2 linked regions of the Ovis aries genome follow. The protein of the gene in region 1 interacts with the protein of each later gene in a biochemical or structural test. Links are inferred from orthologs where the notes say so. Each region holds a gene or a part of one and is shown on either strand. Other genes may lie near its edges.

What was found. The genes of interacting proteins can lie anywhere in the genome.
Region 2: the proteins of ITGA2B (region 1) and RNF181 form a complex in vitro, tested with the Homo sapiens proteins (2 studies listed by BioGRID). The link is inferred for Ovis aries from reciprocal best matches to the Homo sapiens genes ITGA2B and RNF181.

What each region holds. Positions count from the first base shown.
Region 1 is NC_056064.1:43,919,889-43,927,000, forward strand, and holds the start of ITGA2B (integrin alpha-IIb), read right to left. Parts: upstream 4,209-7,112; 5' UTR 4,177-4,208; coding exon 3,989-4,176; intron 2,494-3,988; coding exon 2,372-2,493; intron 2,282-2,371; coding exon 2,184-2,281; intron 2,078-2,183; coding exon 1,909-2,077; intron 1,633-1,908; coding exon 1,583-1,632; intron 1,506-1,582; coding exon 1,460-1,505; intron 1,367-1,459; coding exon 1,241-1,366; intron 870-1,240; coding exon 822-869; intron 674-821; coding exon 630-673; intron 518-629; coding exon 464-517; intron 342-463; coding exon 289-341; intron 88-288; coding exon 1-87. UniProt on the Homo sapiens protein: Integrin alpha-IIb/beta-3 is a receptor for fibronectin, fibrinogen, plasminogen, prothrombin, thrombospondin and vitronectin. It recognizes the sequence R-G-D in a wide array of ligands.
Region 2 is NC_056056.1:57,437,818-57,444,452, reverse strand, and holds RNF181 (E3 ubiquitin-protein ligase RNF181), read right to left. Parts: upstream 3,893-6,635; 5' UTR 3,853-3,892; coding exon 3,767-3,852; intron 3,418-3,766; exon of another isoform or gene 3,288-3,417; intron 3,137-3,287; coding exon 3,006-3,136; intron 2,820-3,005; coding exon 2,710-2,819; intron 2,513-2,709; coding exon 2,438-2,512; intron 2,205-2,437; coding exon 2,037-2,204; 3' UTR 2,022-2,036; downstream 1-2,021. Other genes in the region: TMEM150A (transmembrane protein 150A), read left to right, coding at 1-130, 354-595.

The DNA of each region.
Region 1 (7,112 bases):
AACAAGTACACACGCCCCACCTCGGCCAGCTTGCGGTCAGCACGGCTCTCCATGTACAGTGGTGCACCCACCAAGAGGTCATGCCTCCTGCAGGCCCAACGGGTGGTTATGTGGGGATGGGCTAGAGGGATGCTGTGGGCCTGAGCCCAGGCTTACCCATCCTTGCTCTCCTGCTCCCCTCAGTGTGAGTGAGGGCTGGGAAAGGAAGAGACTGGAGACCAAGGGCAGTCAACACCTCTGGTAATTTGGGACCCAAGTGGGTAGGAGTGGGGGCGCCTGGCTTCTCACCCATCCCCATTGACGTCCGTGACGGCCACTGAGTGCCCAAAATATGAAGCCATCTGCAGGAAATGGGGCACACCTTAATTTCTGTCCTCATACTCACACTTTGATCCCACCCTGTCTCGTGGAATATTCCAGGGTCTCAATTCCCTTGCCTTGGCCACCCCCACCTGATCCTCACCTGCTCTCCATGCAGCCGGTGCAGCATCTGGTGGTACGAGTCCAAAATTTCCACCTGCTCAGAAAACGTACAGGAGCATGTCACAGGGCAGGAAGTTTGGAGGCGGGGGCGGGCACGGTTCAGGCTGAAGAGTGAAATGAGTGAGGGGAGGACAGACGGCACTCACCGCTCCCAGGGTCCAACTCCAGGTGGGGGCACCGAAGACATACTCTGGGGAGAGTCGGGACCAGAAAGTGAGGTCTCTGGAACCCCCACCTGCCTCCTGCCCGCCGTTCCGCATCCCAGGGAGATGCCGGTCTTGGAAGTGCTCCTTTCCGGGCGGGACTCCCCAAACCCCACCCCTAAGTGAATTTCTTGCCTGTAGTGTTGGGATTTCCGTCGAAGTCGCCCACGGCCACCGAGTACCCTGAAGGCACAGTGAGAATTAGTCCTTCAGGGAGGGTGAAGCAGGGAAGGGGCCCGAGTGAGAACGGAGGGGACTCAGAGACCACCCAGTTCAAACTCTGCATTGCGGAGACGGGGAAATCGAGGCCACCGAGAGGTCAAGACCTGCCCGAGGCCGCGAAGCGAATTCAGCTCGAGAAGTCGACATGCTCGCCTTTGGGAGCTGGGCTGTCTGCAGAGGGTAGGGAGAGGGAGCTGCCTGAGCAGAGTGGGGGCGCCTTAGTGCTGGGGCTGGCCAGCCAGAGTTGACAATGGGGCGTTCCTACAGGGGTAGGACAGGGCTGGCGGTGACGCTTGAGTGCTGGGAAGCCTCGATGGGAAGTGCCACGTTACCCCGGTAGCCGTCGTAGTATTGTAAGTGACTGTGGTCGTAGGTGAACTGGGTGCGCACGTGCCACAAAAGGTTGCCTGGGCGGTAACTCGAGATGATATCGGCGATTGGAGCCCGCGCCAAGAGACCTAGGGCACGTGGGACAGTTAGTATGGGCGTCCAGGAGCCTGGAGTGTGCCCGGGTCGAGAGAAGGGAGGGAGGTGTACGGATGGGCACGTACCTACGAAATAGTAGCCGCCAGGAGCCCCAAGCACCAGCTCCCCAGCCTGAAATAGAAGCTCTGAAGGTGAGAGAGGGCCCTGTTTGGGGGGCAACCCCCACGCCGTTTATGCTCCCTACTCGCCTGAGTGACTACCGAGCTGAAGCCGGCTTCGCAGTAACGCCTGTCCTCTCCTAGAGAAGGCAAAAAGAAAGGGTCAGCGAAGAAGCCTGCTCTGACGAGTGGCGCCGGGCCGGGAGGCGGAGTCAAACGGGGGCGGGGCCACAGGGTAATACGGAGGCGTGGTCTACTATCAACATCCAGTGGGCAGGATATGGGGGTGGAGTCAGGAACTAGGCTATCTGGGAGACCCCAGACTGCAAGCAGGATTTGGGAATGATCGGGTGAAGGGCGGGGCTAGTGGATAACGGCCGCGAGTGGGCGGAGCCGAAACGGAGAGAGGAGCTCACTGAAATGATTTCTCTCGTAAAACTGGCTCATTTTGTTGGCCCGGCAGGGCGAGTACTCTGTGCGGTCGCCGTTTTGGAGCTGAGCCACGAAGCAGCCACCTACGGGGGTCTTCTGAGCCTCCTCCTCGTTCCTATCTAGGACGTTCCAGTGCTGCCAGGGGGCGCAGGCCTGAAGCAGAGCCAGAGGAGAGTGGGGAAGGGGCGGGACTCGGGTTCCTCCCTCCACGTGTCCCCGCCCTCCGTCTGCTCCCTGATCCCGGTCCGGTAGCGCCCACCACAATGCTGTCTCTCCAACTAACGACCGACGCCCCGAGTCCTTGCCCGGCCTTGAAGGTTTGGAAAGTTTGGGTGCCTATGCTTTGCGTTTCATCATCTGGAGGGCACAAGAAGAGAGTAGGGTGCTGAAGCCCGGCTGTCCGCGCTCCTTGTATCCCCTCCCTTTCTCTTCTTGTGCGAGACTCACAGAGGTTGAAGGGCAGCGAGATGCACTGGCCACCCTCGGCCTTCCAGGGGCACAGGAAAATGCCGCCGGTCTCCTCCTCGCTGCGGCCCAGGGTCCGTGGGGCGCCCACCACGATGGACACACTGCATAAGAAAGCTGGGTGAGAGCTCCGTGGATTCTGGGGTACCCCGTGCCCCAGTGCCTGTGCCGGGAGCACTCCTCGGAAGGGCGGTGTGCCTTGAGGGTCACTGGATCTTTTCCCAGTGAGACGACACAGACCACAGACGCCAATCTTTTCATTTTATGGCCACTGAAACTGACTCCCAGCGAGGAAAGTCACATACCCATCAGTAACCGAGGAAATTAAGGATGAAACAGAATATAACCATTAGGTTCGATTTGAACACGAGGGGTTTGACAGCCTTGCTAAAAGAGATCTCCTAAACTCTGTACACCGTCTACATTCCCCAACACTTGCCACGAAAAGCCAAGGGTTTACATGCACCGTGTTCCTGTCTAAACTGTCATCAGATCTCTTTCTGAGAACCAGTTTTAATCAGGAAATATTAAGCTAGTGGGCACCCGTAAAGTGGGTGGTGGGGTGCTGACATTTCTAAGGACTCTAGTAGATCTAGGTTCAAATGACAGCTCTACTGTATATAAAAGGTGGACAATACCAATCAATGCTGTCAGAAGTAAATGAAATAAACACATGAAAAACATTTATGCCAGTGCCAGCCAAATAATACATAACGAGGGCTCCAAAAATGCTGTAATTTGTTTTTCTTTTTAGTTTGCAGGATATTTACTAAGTAGTGCCCATGAGACCAGTATCTATGAAAAGGAGGAGAAAGAAGCAGGAGCAGGCAGGGGACATTGAGTTGAGATTCGGACTGAATAACAGCCATGGGTCAATGTCCTGGGAACTTTGGAGGGAGAAAGACCCTCAGAACTGTCTGGAGTTGAAAGAGTCAGACCGTTAACCTCTCCCCTCCCTCCACACTCCTCATTGACTGGTCATTGTTCCTGGGCCACATTTGGAAGTGGGGGAGCTTTGAGGGAGGTGGCCCTCTTCAGCAGAAGCAACTCCCCAAGGTGCTGACACTTAAAGTTCATCTGCTATTGTTATGCTCTGAAGCTGGACCTTGGTGTCCATCTCAATAAGGAACTAGCTCAGGGTTGTTGCTATAGAGAGAAAGAGCCAGGACTCTAATTTTAGCAGTCTGAATTTGCAGCCTGATGAATCCCAACCAATAATGCTCTATTGCTTCTTTTCAAATATCAATCGTTTTGCTGGGTTGAGGGGATTGGAATAGAAAGCAAAGTGGGAGTAGACAGACAATTTCACAGTTCTGCAGGTCAACTTAAGACATGTGCTCCTTTCTGTATTTCAAGGGGATGAGGGTGGAGTGGGTCATAAAACTGACCCTTGAGGAAAAAATAAGGCATCAACATCGGTCTCCCCTTTGTCTTTGCTCTGCTCAGCTCCCCACTGGTGCCTCTTGCTGACACCCTGGTATTCCTAACAAGAACTCAGCCCAAATAGACCCTGGAAATAAGTTTGCTCAACCTCTATCACAAATGGGGAACTCAAGACCCACAGAAGCAGTGATGGTGGGGGAGTTTCCCAGGGCTCACCTCCTATTGCTGTTCTTGTAGAAGTCCAGTGAAAACCCAAAGTGGCTGCCATTAGGGCCTGTGTAGATGGTGAGCTGCACTGAATCCAGGTTCAAGGCCCAGGTTGGAGGCACAGCACCAGGTCCCAAGAGCAGCTGCACCCACTCCAGAAGCCAGAGGGCACGAAGTAGACACAGAGCTCTGGCCATCTTCCTTCTCCCACAGCCTCCTAGGCAGTAATGGGTTAGCAGCTTCCCCTTTCAGTTCCACCGCAGGAAGTCTTTTCTTATCAAGCTGAAACCTACTTGCTGACTAGTAGGCAGAGTCCTGGGCCATATGGTTTCTAGGGTTGTTGGGAAGAGGGTAAGTCTACCCTGGGGGTGGATGCTTATGGCTGAAAGCCAATTCTTCCCTTTTCTTGAACGTATTTTATCAAGTCCTGCTGGTTCTGCTCTTCAACAATGTCTCTTGAATCTTCATTCCATTTCTTCTACCACCATGCTAGTCTAAACCACCACTGCTTCCTGCTTGGGATAGTGCAACACGCCTCCACTCTAGCCCAGTTCTACAGGTCCTCCTCCCCCCACACAGTTCCCTGCACTGCCAAGGCACACTGTGACTTGGTCAGAAGTGGGGGAAGGAGCGAGGAAGCTCCTGGCCCCTGATAAGACCTGAGGCTGCTGTATCCTTAAAAGAATAAGGCACTTATCCACTTCCTCCTTCTAGGACCTTTGGCAGCTTCAGTCAGTCATATTGGCACAACAGCTTCCTCGCTCATCCTCCATCTGGGGCCAAGTCTTAATGTGGCGCAGCAATGTAGCCAGTGCTGGGGGAGGGGTGGTGAATGGATCCTGGCTGAAGGGAGGAGATGGGGATAAAGTGGAGTCATCCCAGGGTGTTCTGGCTCACAGGCTTGGAGATTTGCACCAGCTGTTCAGTTGAAGGCAGGTCTAACTCCTTGGGTGACAGAGCTCTTGTCCAATCAGTAAGACTTGATTCTAGTGGGGTCATTGCCTAGGAGATGCCACTCTCAATTCCTCGGGCTGGCACTCTGGGGTTCACACACAGGGGTGCGGCACTGATCACACTGCTTTGTCATGGTCTGTTCACTGGATTTTGTTCACGGGTCCCTTGAGAATGAGGGTCCTTTCTGGTGCCCCAGGACCTAGCCAAGAGCCCATCATACCGTAGGCATTGCTGACAGACTGAATAATAGCAGGCACTGAGGACTGGAGGATGCAAATGCAGGCTCCCACAGAGGAAAGAAAAGGAATAGTTTTGAGCAGAAAGGGCATTTTTTAACGGATGTTCAGAGGAAGAGGAGTGCCAAGCAAGTCTTACTGGCACTGCATTGTCTTCCCAAAAAAGCAGGTTGTCAGGAAGGAAATTTAAGAGATCTGCTGGGGTAAAGAACATAGTCACATTGCTTTTGCTCATATTTTCTTTTTAAATATTTTATTTATTTGGCTACATTGGGTCTTAGTTGCATCATCTGGCATCTTTCCTTGTGGTGCACGGACTCTGCAGTTGCGGTGTGGGATCTTAAGTTTCCCAACCAGGGATCGAACCCAAGTTCTTTGCATTGCAAGGTGGATTCCACTGGACTACCAAGGCTGTTAAATTTTCTGATCAAACTTAACCATCATCTTATCCCGCCCAACTCCCCAGGGCCCTTCAGCACCACCTTTGTCCTCATAATTCACCTCCTTTGAGCACATAGCTCAAAATCCTATCCCTTTCTAGGTTAGAGGCACCTTGAACTTTAGTCTGGGCCTCCTTCACTGCTGAATTCCCAGTGCCAAGCTCACGGCAGGCACGTAATACTTAGTCCTGTACTTACCTTCCACCCTCCCTGTCCTCAACTGAGTGGAACTGTATTACTGGTGTACCCTGTGTAGCCCCAGATTAACTCACACTTCACCAAGGCTTTTAATAAATTCTCATTCTGTTCACGGAGAAGGCAATGGCACCCCACTCCAGTACTCTTGCCTGGAAAATCCCATGGACGGAGAAGCCTGGTAGGCTGCAGTCCCTGGGGTCGCTAAGAGTCGGGCACGACTGAGCGACTTCACTTTCACGCATTGGAGAAGGTAATGGCAACCCACTCCAGTGTTCTTGCCTGGATAATCCCAGGGACGGGGGAGCCTGGTGGGCTGCCGTCTATGGGGTCGCAGAGTCGGACACGACTGAAGCGACTTAGCAGCAGCAGCAGCAGCAGCAGCAGCATTCTGTTCAAGGCACTGAGTGGTAAGAGATACAAAGACAATTGTCAAGGATCCTTAAAAAACTTAGTCCAGAGAGAGTTAAGACATGACATGAACACATATAACTGCAGCAGAATAGTAAATGCCTTGAAAAAGGTAGGGGTGATGCCTAGCTGAAGTCATTTATATTATCCGCTTCTTCATAACAACCCAATGAATTAGCTACTATTATGTCCATTTTAGAAACGCTAAAACTGTGGCACAGAGTTTTAGGTAAATAGCCCAAGTGTACAGAGTGGCAAAAACTATGTGTCAAACACATTTGTGCTTGAACTCATGTTCTTAACCATTGCACTATATTGCCTTTTGTCAGAGAATGAAGGGGTTTTTCAACACAGGAAATAACAGAGAGCAGAACACAGAGCTCAGTTATAGAGGTAAGTAGTCAACACAGGAGAGGACTGGGGCATGAGGGTGGAATGAAGGCTGGGGTCGCATCACTGCAGGTCCTTGAATGTCTGAGAAATCTGAACTTTAATCCATAGGAGATGGAGAATCGTAGGTTTTTTAACTAACAAATTAGAGAATAAGATACATGATCAACTGTGCTCCAATCAGAATCATACTAGTTACCTATGGATAGAAGGGATTGGAAAAGGCAGGACTTACTGGGAAGATCAGATGGATGGTGCCTACCATCCTCTCAGTTAAAGGTGATGAGGCCTGAACCAGGGTACTGGTGGCAGGAGCAAAGGAGAGGGCAGAGATTACACGATCAGCAACTGCCATGTGGTAGGGAAGTGTCCAAAGTAATTCAGAGCTATGGTGGCTGGCTGGTAGGATGGTAGTATCATTAATTCAAACAGGATCAGATTTAGGAAGGGACAGTTTCGGTATTCAATAAAGATTCTATTCCTTGTAGGAGTTCTGTTGGGGACACA
Region 2 (6,635 bases), on another chromosome or scaffold:
ACTGCCGGCCTGCTCTTCGTTTGCCTGCACTGTGCCCTCTCCTACCACGGGGCCACGGCCCCCCAGGACCTGGCTGTGGCCTACCTGCGGATTGTGCTGGCAACCATCGCCTTTGTCACTCTGATCCTCAGTATCCTTCCAGGATGGGGTGGCCAAGAACTCCTCCTGTAGCCCAGACCCTCTACCACCCAGGATGCTGGGGGGTAGGGGGGAACAGACACCCCTGCCCAGTCTGGTCTTCTGCCCCCTACTCCTGGGAGGTGAGACTTGGTCCTCTGCCCCAGCCTGTATCCAGGAAGGGTGTCACCAGGCTCCCATACCTCCTTCCGGACGTTTCCTTAGCCCTCTCCCAGGTGGGGTCTTCTTCATCCATGAGAGCTCTCAGCTGCAGCATGGGGCAGCCCTGTGTGAGTGGGTGTTCGTCATTGACATTCTCATCTTCTACGGCACCTTCAGCTACGAGTTCGGGGCGGTCTCCTCGGACACACTGGTGGCCGCGCTGCAGCCCACCCCCGGCCGGGCCTGCAAGTCCTCCGGGAGCAGCAGCACCTCCACCCACCTCAACTGTAGCCCTGAGAGCGTCGCCATGATCTGAGGTCTGGGGAGGGTGGCTGGCCCTGCCTCCGCAGCTCCCCGCATCTCCTTTGCATTTCTTTTGTACCAAAAAAACCCAATTTTGCGAAAAGTATTCTGTTGGGAAACAGGCTGCCTCGCTCCTGGAGGAGGGGCCGTCCCACACCTGTGCCATAGAGGAGCGGGCCTCTTGGCAGGCTGCCCAAGCCACACAGCCCACTCCCCACACTGCAGTGTTATCTTTGTTTTAAAGGTCACATGTCATTCACCCAGCCACCCCTTCAGGTGCCTTCTACTCCCTCAGTGCCAAGGCTGGACCACTGGGGTTTCCTGCTGCAGGAATTGGGGGCTGGGAACAGCGAGAGGGCTACCAGTCTCGGGGGTGGGGGTGAGCACTCCTTAGTCTATGGGAAGGCCCCCTATGGGCCCACTGAACTGCACTGGGATTCTTCACTCTGCCCCTTTCTTTAGGGCAAATAACACAGCAGAACCACGTGGGTATTTTAGTACTTTTTTTAATATATATATCTATTAAAAGAATTCTAATTTGCATGTTTGTAGTCTGTTCTGAAGAAAGGAAGAGGGCCTTAATGCAGAACAGCTTCCCCTGGACAAAGGATGGGAGAAAGCCCCTGCCCACAGGGAGGGTCCTGAGTGCCCAACTGAGAGCAAAGCTGCCAAGAACAAAGGATGCCAAGTGCTATCCAAGCACCCCTGAAGGGCCTGAAGCCCTTTCTGGGCCTCTAAACAGTCTGAAGAGCTGAGCTGATTATTTCACACTTCCTACCCTGCTCAGGGGCTTCCCTAGTGGCTCAGATGGTAAAGAATCTGCCTGCAGTGCAGGAGACCCCAGTTCGATCCCCGGACTGGAAAGATCCCCTGGAGAAGGGAATGGCTACCCACTCTAGTATTCTTGCCTAGAGAATTCATGGACAGAGGAACCTGGTGGGCTGTAGTCCATGGGGTCGCAGAGTCAGATATGACTGAGCAACTAACACTTTCACTTTTTTTCACCCTGCTCAATTGTCTGGCTTGAAGACTGATTCCACACTTAAGGGATATGATGAAGGACGGGGTACAGAGAATAACTTGAAAATGTTAGAAGCAATCAGCAATGAAGCTAAAGAAAGCCCTGGGGATTCTAACACTGACTAAAGATTGCAGTGGGGAGGGAGAAATGTTGGCTAGTTTTTGGTTACCATTTTTAAGTCACTACTAGGTGCCCTGCCTGACACATTTTGTCTTCCAACCACAGACATGTAGGCCCAGGCTGTGGCTGGTCTGGTAGCCAGGTTCTTGACCTAGGCCCTATTATCCTCGGGCCAGCAGGCTTGGTAGGGAGGGATACCCAGCCTGGGACCTTCCACGGCTTAGGACCCCATCCCAGTAGAGACCCAGTGGAGGGTACAGAGCCCCTTCCCAGGCCTGAGAGCAATGCAGCAGCAGGATGAGTGAAGAAACCTTTAATGAGAGCTTGAGATGCAAGAGGAACATGTTGCAGAGGACCAGTGTCCAGCCCTAGCCGCCTCATGTGTACATGGCTCCGTGGAGGTTCTCGAGGCGGTGCTTCTGCTGCTGCTTGCGAGCCTGAAGCAAAGAGTGCACACTGGTCGGGGGCCATCCCCAAAGGCCTGTGGGTGAAGGGATAGGGCAGCCATCGTGGGGCTGGCTCACTGTTTTCAGGCCCCTAACATTTGGGCAGGAACATTGCCAAGGCCCTTGCCCCTCACCACAGTCACTGGGAAGGTGGCCAGACTCATGGACTGTGAGCCTACTCAGGCCTCCTAAGGTGGGGAATGATGGCATCAGGAACAGGGACTCAGGGAGCCCTGTGACCACCCCCTCCACTTGCCCAGCCCCCTACCTTATCTCGCTTGTGCTCCTCATAAGTGTCATCATCAGTGGGCAGCTCATGGCGGCACAGAGGGCAGGAATTGGTCTGAGAAAAGCAGTGCAGTGTACCAGCCCGTCTGGTTTTCATAAGCTCAAAACAACCATCCCCAGCTCCCAATTCCCTACCCTTACCCCTCTCCCATCTCTGATCCCACACCCCACCCCAAAGGTCCATCAACAGAAAGAGGAGGCTTGAGGACTAGGCCCAAGGCAGGGTGAGGGCTGGGAGAAAGGAAACAGTACCTTGCTCAGCCAGGGCAGAATGCAGTTGGAATGGAAGAGGTGATGGCAAGGCATCTCAATGGCGGTCTCCGCCTCCTCAAATTCCAAAAGACACACGGGGCACTTGAGCTCTTGAGGAGGGAGTGCTAATCAGGAGAGCTGCCACAGGCCCTACCTCCTAGCTCCCACTCCTGAAGGACACACTTGCCCCAGCCTGACCTGGAAAACTGAAGGGCCAGACTGTAATCTGGCTTCCAGAGTTGGTCAGCCTGGCAGACCTGCCCCAAAGAATCAATGGAAGGACTTAGTGTTCTCACCAGCCTGAGAGCCCCTGATGACTGTCCTGGGAAGGTTCTCAACTGCAGTCTTGGCAGCGGGTGGAGGCAGGTGGTGATCCCAATCCACTACTAACCCCAAGTCTTCAAAGTCCATCCTATTGAAAAGGGACCTGGGAAGAAGGATGCAAGGTCAGAACCAAAGAATCTTTGCCCCCATAATCCACTAAACATTAACAGACAAATACTCTGCCCGACTAGTCATACTAATAGCTACCCCTCAGTAGTGCTCTAGACAAAAAAGCACAGTGGGAAATGGCTTACAGCTGCTATCAGACAACCCCAGGCCATCAGACAACCCCAAGCATGCAGGTTATTTATTCCAGTTTTACACGAGAGAGAGAAATTATTCGGGTCACTCAGGAATGACCCAAAAAAGCCAAATTCCAAGTGGCAGTGTAGCTTCCGTGCTTGAAGTGCCTAACGGATATACCTACTCACAGTCACATGGCCCCTGCTCCCATGACCCGCCTACTTCAGTACCTCCTAAAGCCCACTGCCCTCCAGTTCGCACACCCCCTCTTCCACACTCCAGATCGCTTTTTCCAGAATTCCCTTGCTCTAGTCTGTCCAAGGACGACCGAAATTATCGACTTCCCCCCGAATCTCACTGCGGAATTAACTCTGCAGATTATTTATCCGTTTTACCCAGAAACTGCTGCCCCACATAATCCGCGTTCTCCAGCCAGCCTCAGCCCAGACACCTGCTGTGTGGGCCCTACCTCCCAGCCCCACACACCCACCTTGCAAGCTCCAGCAGCATGTTTGTTCGGGGATCCCGTTCACGATCCAACGGCTCGCAGTCGTGTTCATCGAAATAAGACGCCATGGCAGCCGGGCTGTCTGACACAGCCCTCAGACCCGGCCGTACCTCAGTCTCGCGGCGCTGGCCAATAAACTAGCGAGTTGAGGGAGGACAACCAATCAGAGTCCCCAAGAGGCGGGCACAGTGGCTCTTTCGCCACATAGGAAGAGGAAGTATTCATTTTGTCACCTCTCATTGGCTCGAATAAGTCAGGTGACCAAGGGCTAAAGCCAATGGCAGGGACCGAGGTGGGTCAGAAAACGGTCCTCTTGGACCCCTCGGTCTAGGGTAGGTTTCTGGGAGACGTGAGCGTATCGCATAATCTTGAGAAGCCAAGTGTTTGAGCTATAGGGGTCCTCCATCCGCTCTGCGGCTCAGAGGATCTCGGCAGGTCAGATCTTACAGGCCTCTCAGAAAGAGGGCGGCGCTGACTCAGGGGTCAGGGTTCTGCGAGCCTGGGGAAGCCTGGAGTCGGGGCTTCTCGCTGCTCTGCCGCATCCTCGCCGGGCGGTTCAGCACCCGCTGCTCTCTAGTCAGTTCAGGACTAGACACTTGACGCCGCCTCGACTCCCGCAAAACAAATAAAACTTTCCTATTCAGTTCTGCTGTGTTAGGCACAATAATAAAAGGTGGGGTAAACTCCCCCACCCGAATAGAGGCCTTACCAGCTCAGGGAACTATATGTCTGTGTGATCTTTTAGCCCATTGCTCAGCGTTTCCCCTAGCTTCTGTAAAATTAGTGGCTTGAATTTAATAAGTAGTTTGCATCTCTGGCACCCAGGAACCTCTTGGAGGAAGAAAGGAGAGGTTGCAGCTTTAGGGGGAAAACAACAACAAAAAACTCCACACAACTGTTGTTTAGTCTCAAAGATCAAATTTAACTGATCTAGGCCTCTGTGTGTGTGTGTGTGTGTGTGTGTGTGTGCTAAATGATTTGGCTGCTAGCTATCATTTATTTGGCAACTAGAATCATTCCATTTATGTTGTACACAGGGTATAAATATAAATACTCACAATTATCCAGGAGCTAGTATCATTATAGTCAAAGCTATGGTTTTTCTAGTAGTCGTGTATGGCTATGAGCTGCTGCTGCTGCTGCTAAGTCGCTTCAGTCGTGTCCGACTCTGTGTGACCCCACAGACAGCAGCCCACCAGGCTCCCCCGTCCCTGGGATTCTCCAGGCAAGAACACGAATGGGCTGCCATTGCCTTCTGTGATGGCTATGAGAGTTGGACCTTAAAGAAGGCTGAGTGCCAAAGAACTGATGCTTTTGAATTGTGGTGCTGGAGAAGACTCTTGAGAGTCCCTTGGACTGCAAGGAGATCAAACCAGTCAGTTCTAAAGGAAATCAACCCTGAATATTCACTGGAAGGACTGGTTGCTGAAGCTCCAATACTTTGGCCTCCTGATTCAAAGAGCTGACTCATTGGAAGAGACTGATGCTAGGAAAGATTGAAGGCAGGAGGAAGAGAAGAGGGTGGCAGAGGATGAGATGGTTAGATAGCATCACCAACTCAGTAAACATGTATTTGGGCAAACACTGGGAGACAGTGGAGGACTGTGGGGCCTGGCATGCTGCAGTCCATGGGGTTGCAAAGAGTTGGCTACAGCTTAGTGACTGAACAACAAGAAGTATCATTATTGCTTTTTACATATGTAAGAACCCAAGTCCAATTCCACAGGACCTCTAAGCAGTGTTGCAGACCTAAGCACAATACCCGGGGCTTCCCTCATCTTTCCCAGGAAAGGCTGATGGTGGTGAGCCTAGCGGAAGTAACGTGCTCCATGAGGGTACAGCTCCACACAACTGGAGGGTCTGTTCTTGTTTCTTTGTCAGTAGCCCTCAGTCCCCCTAACAAGGAACTGCTTCTGTTACACACTTGACCCTGAGTTCCTCTTCCCACCTACACTTGAGTTTGAGATGCAGTTAAGTAGCTCAAGCAGTGGCTGCCTTGCTTCCCAGTTCTTGGTAGGACCTTTCCTTCCTACTTGGCCTTTACCCAGTGCTCTTTCCTGGTGTCCTGAAGACACTGCCTCCCTAGCCCTGTGAAGTCCTAGAGCTTTGAAAAGCTCTTTCCCACAGGGCAAACTCCAGGCCATCCTTTGTGACTCTGCGCCTTTCGGCATCACAAAGAAAAAAGCCCTTCCCTTTTCCTGCCACCTGCTACATCTGTATGGGCTTCCCAGTGGTAGAGAATCCGCCTGCCAATGTAGGAGATGCAGGGGACTTGGGTTCAATCCCTGGGTTGGGAAAAGATCCCCTAGTATAGGAAACGGCAACACACTCCAGTATTCTTTCGGGGAAAAAAAATCCCATGGACCGAAGAGCCTAGCTAGAGTCCATGAGGTAGCAAAGAGTCAGACACAACTGAACAACTGGAAATACAGGCATGCCGCATCTGTAATCTGGTGTAGAGCCTGAGGAAGAACTTGGGGGCAGAAACTAGAGGAGGTACCCAAGGGGGAAGAGCCTCCCTGAAGGTGAGAGCCTTGTGAGATAAAGATCACGGGAGTGCCTTCCTCTTTGTCATCCTATGGGCCCTCTGAACAGCCCCAAACTCAGAAGAATAACAGATTTCATCCTCAGGAAGACAGACTTAAAGGGCACCCGTTGAAGGTTCTGGTTTGGGGGCTGTTGTATCTTTACACCTGCACCCTAGAGGGATCTGTCTGTAAGACTGGATCAATGGGGAAAGGAGAAGAAGATGTCATCTCCCAGGGCTGAAGTCCTTTGGAACTTTCTATTTTATAAGCAGCCATGGGGGTGGAGGCAGAGCAGGATGAACCAATCTGAGGATCTTCAAACA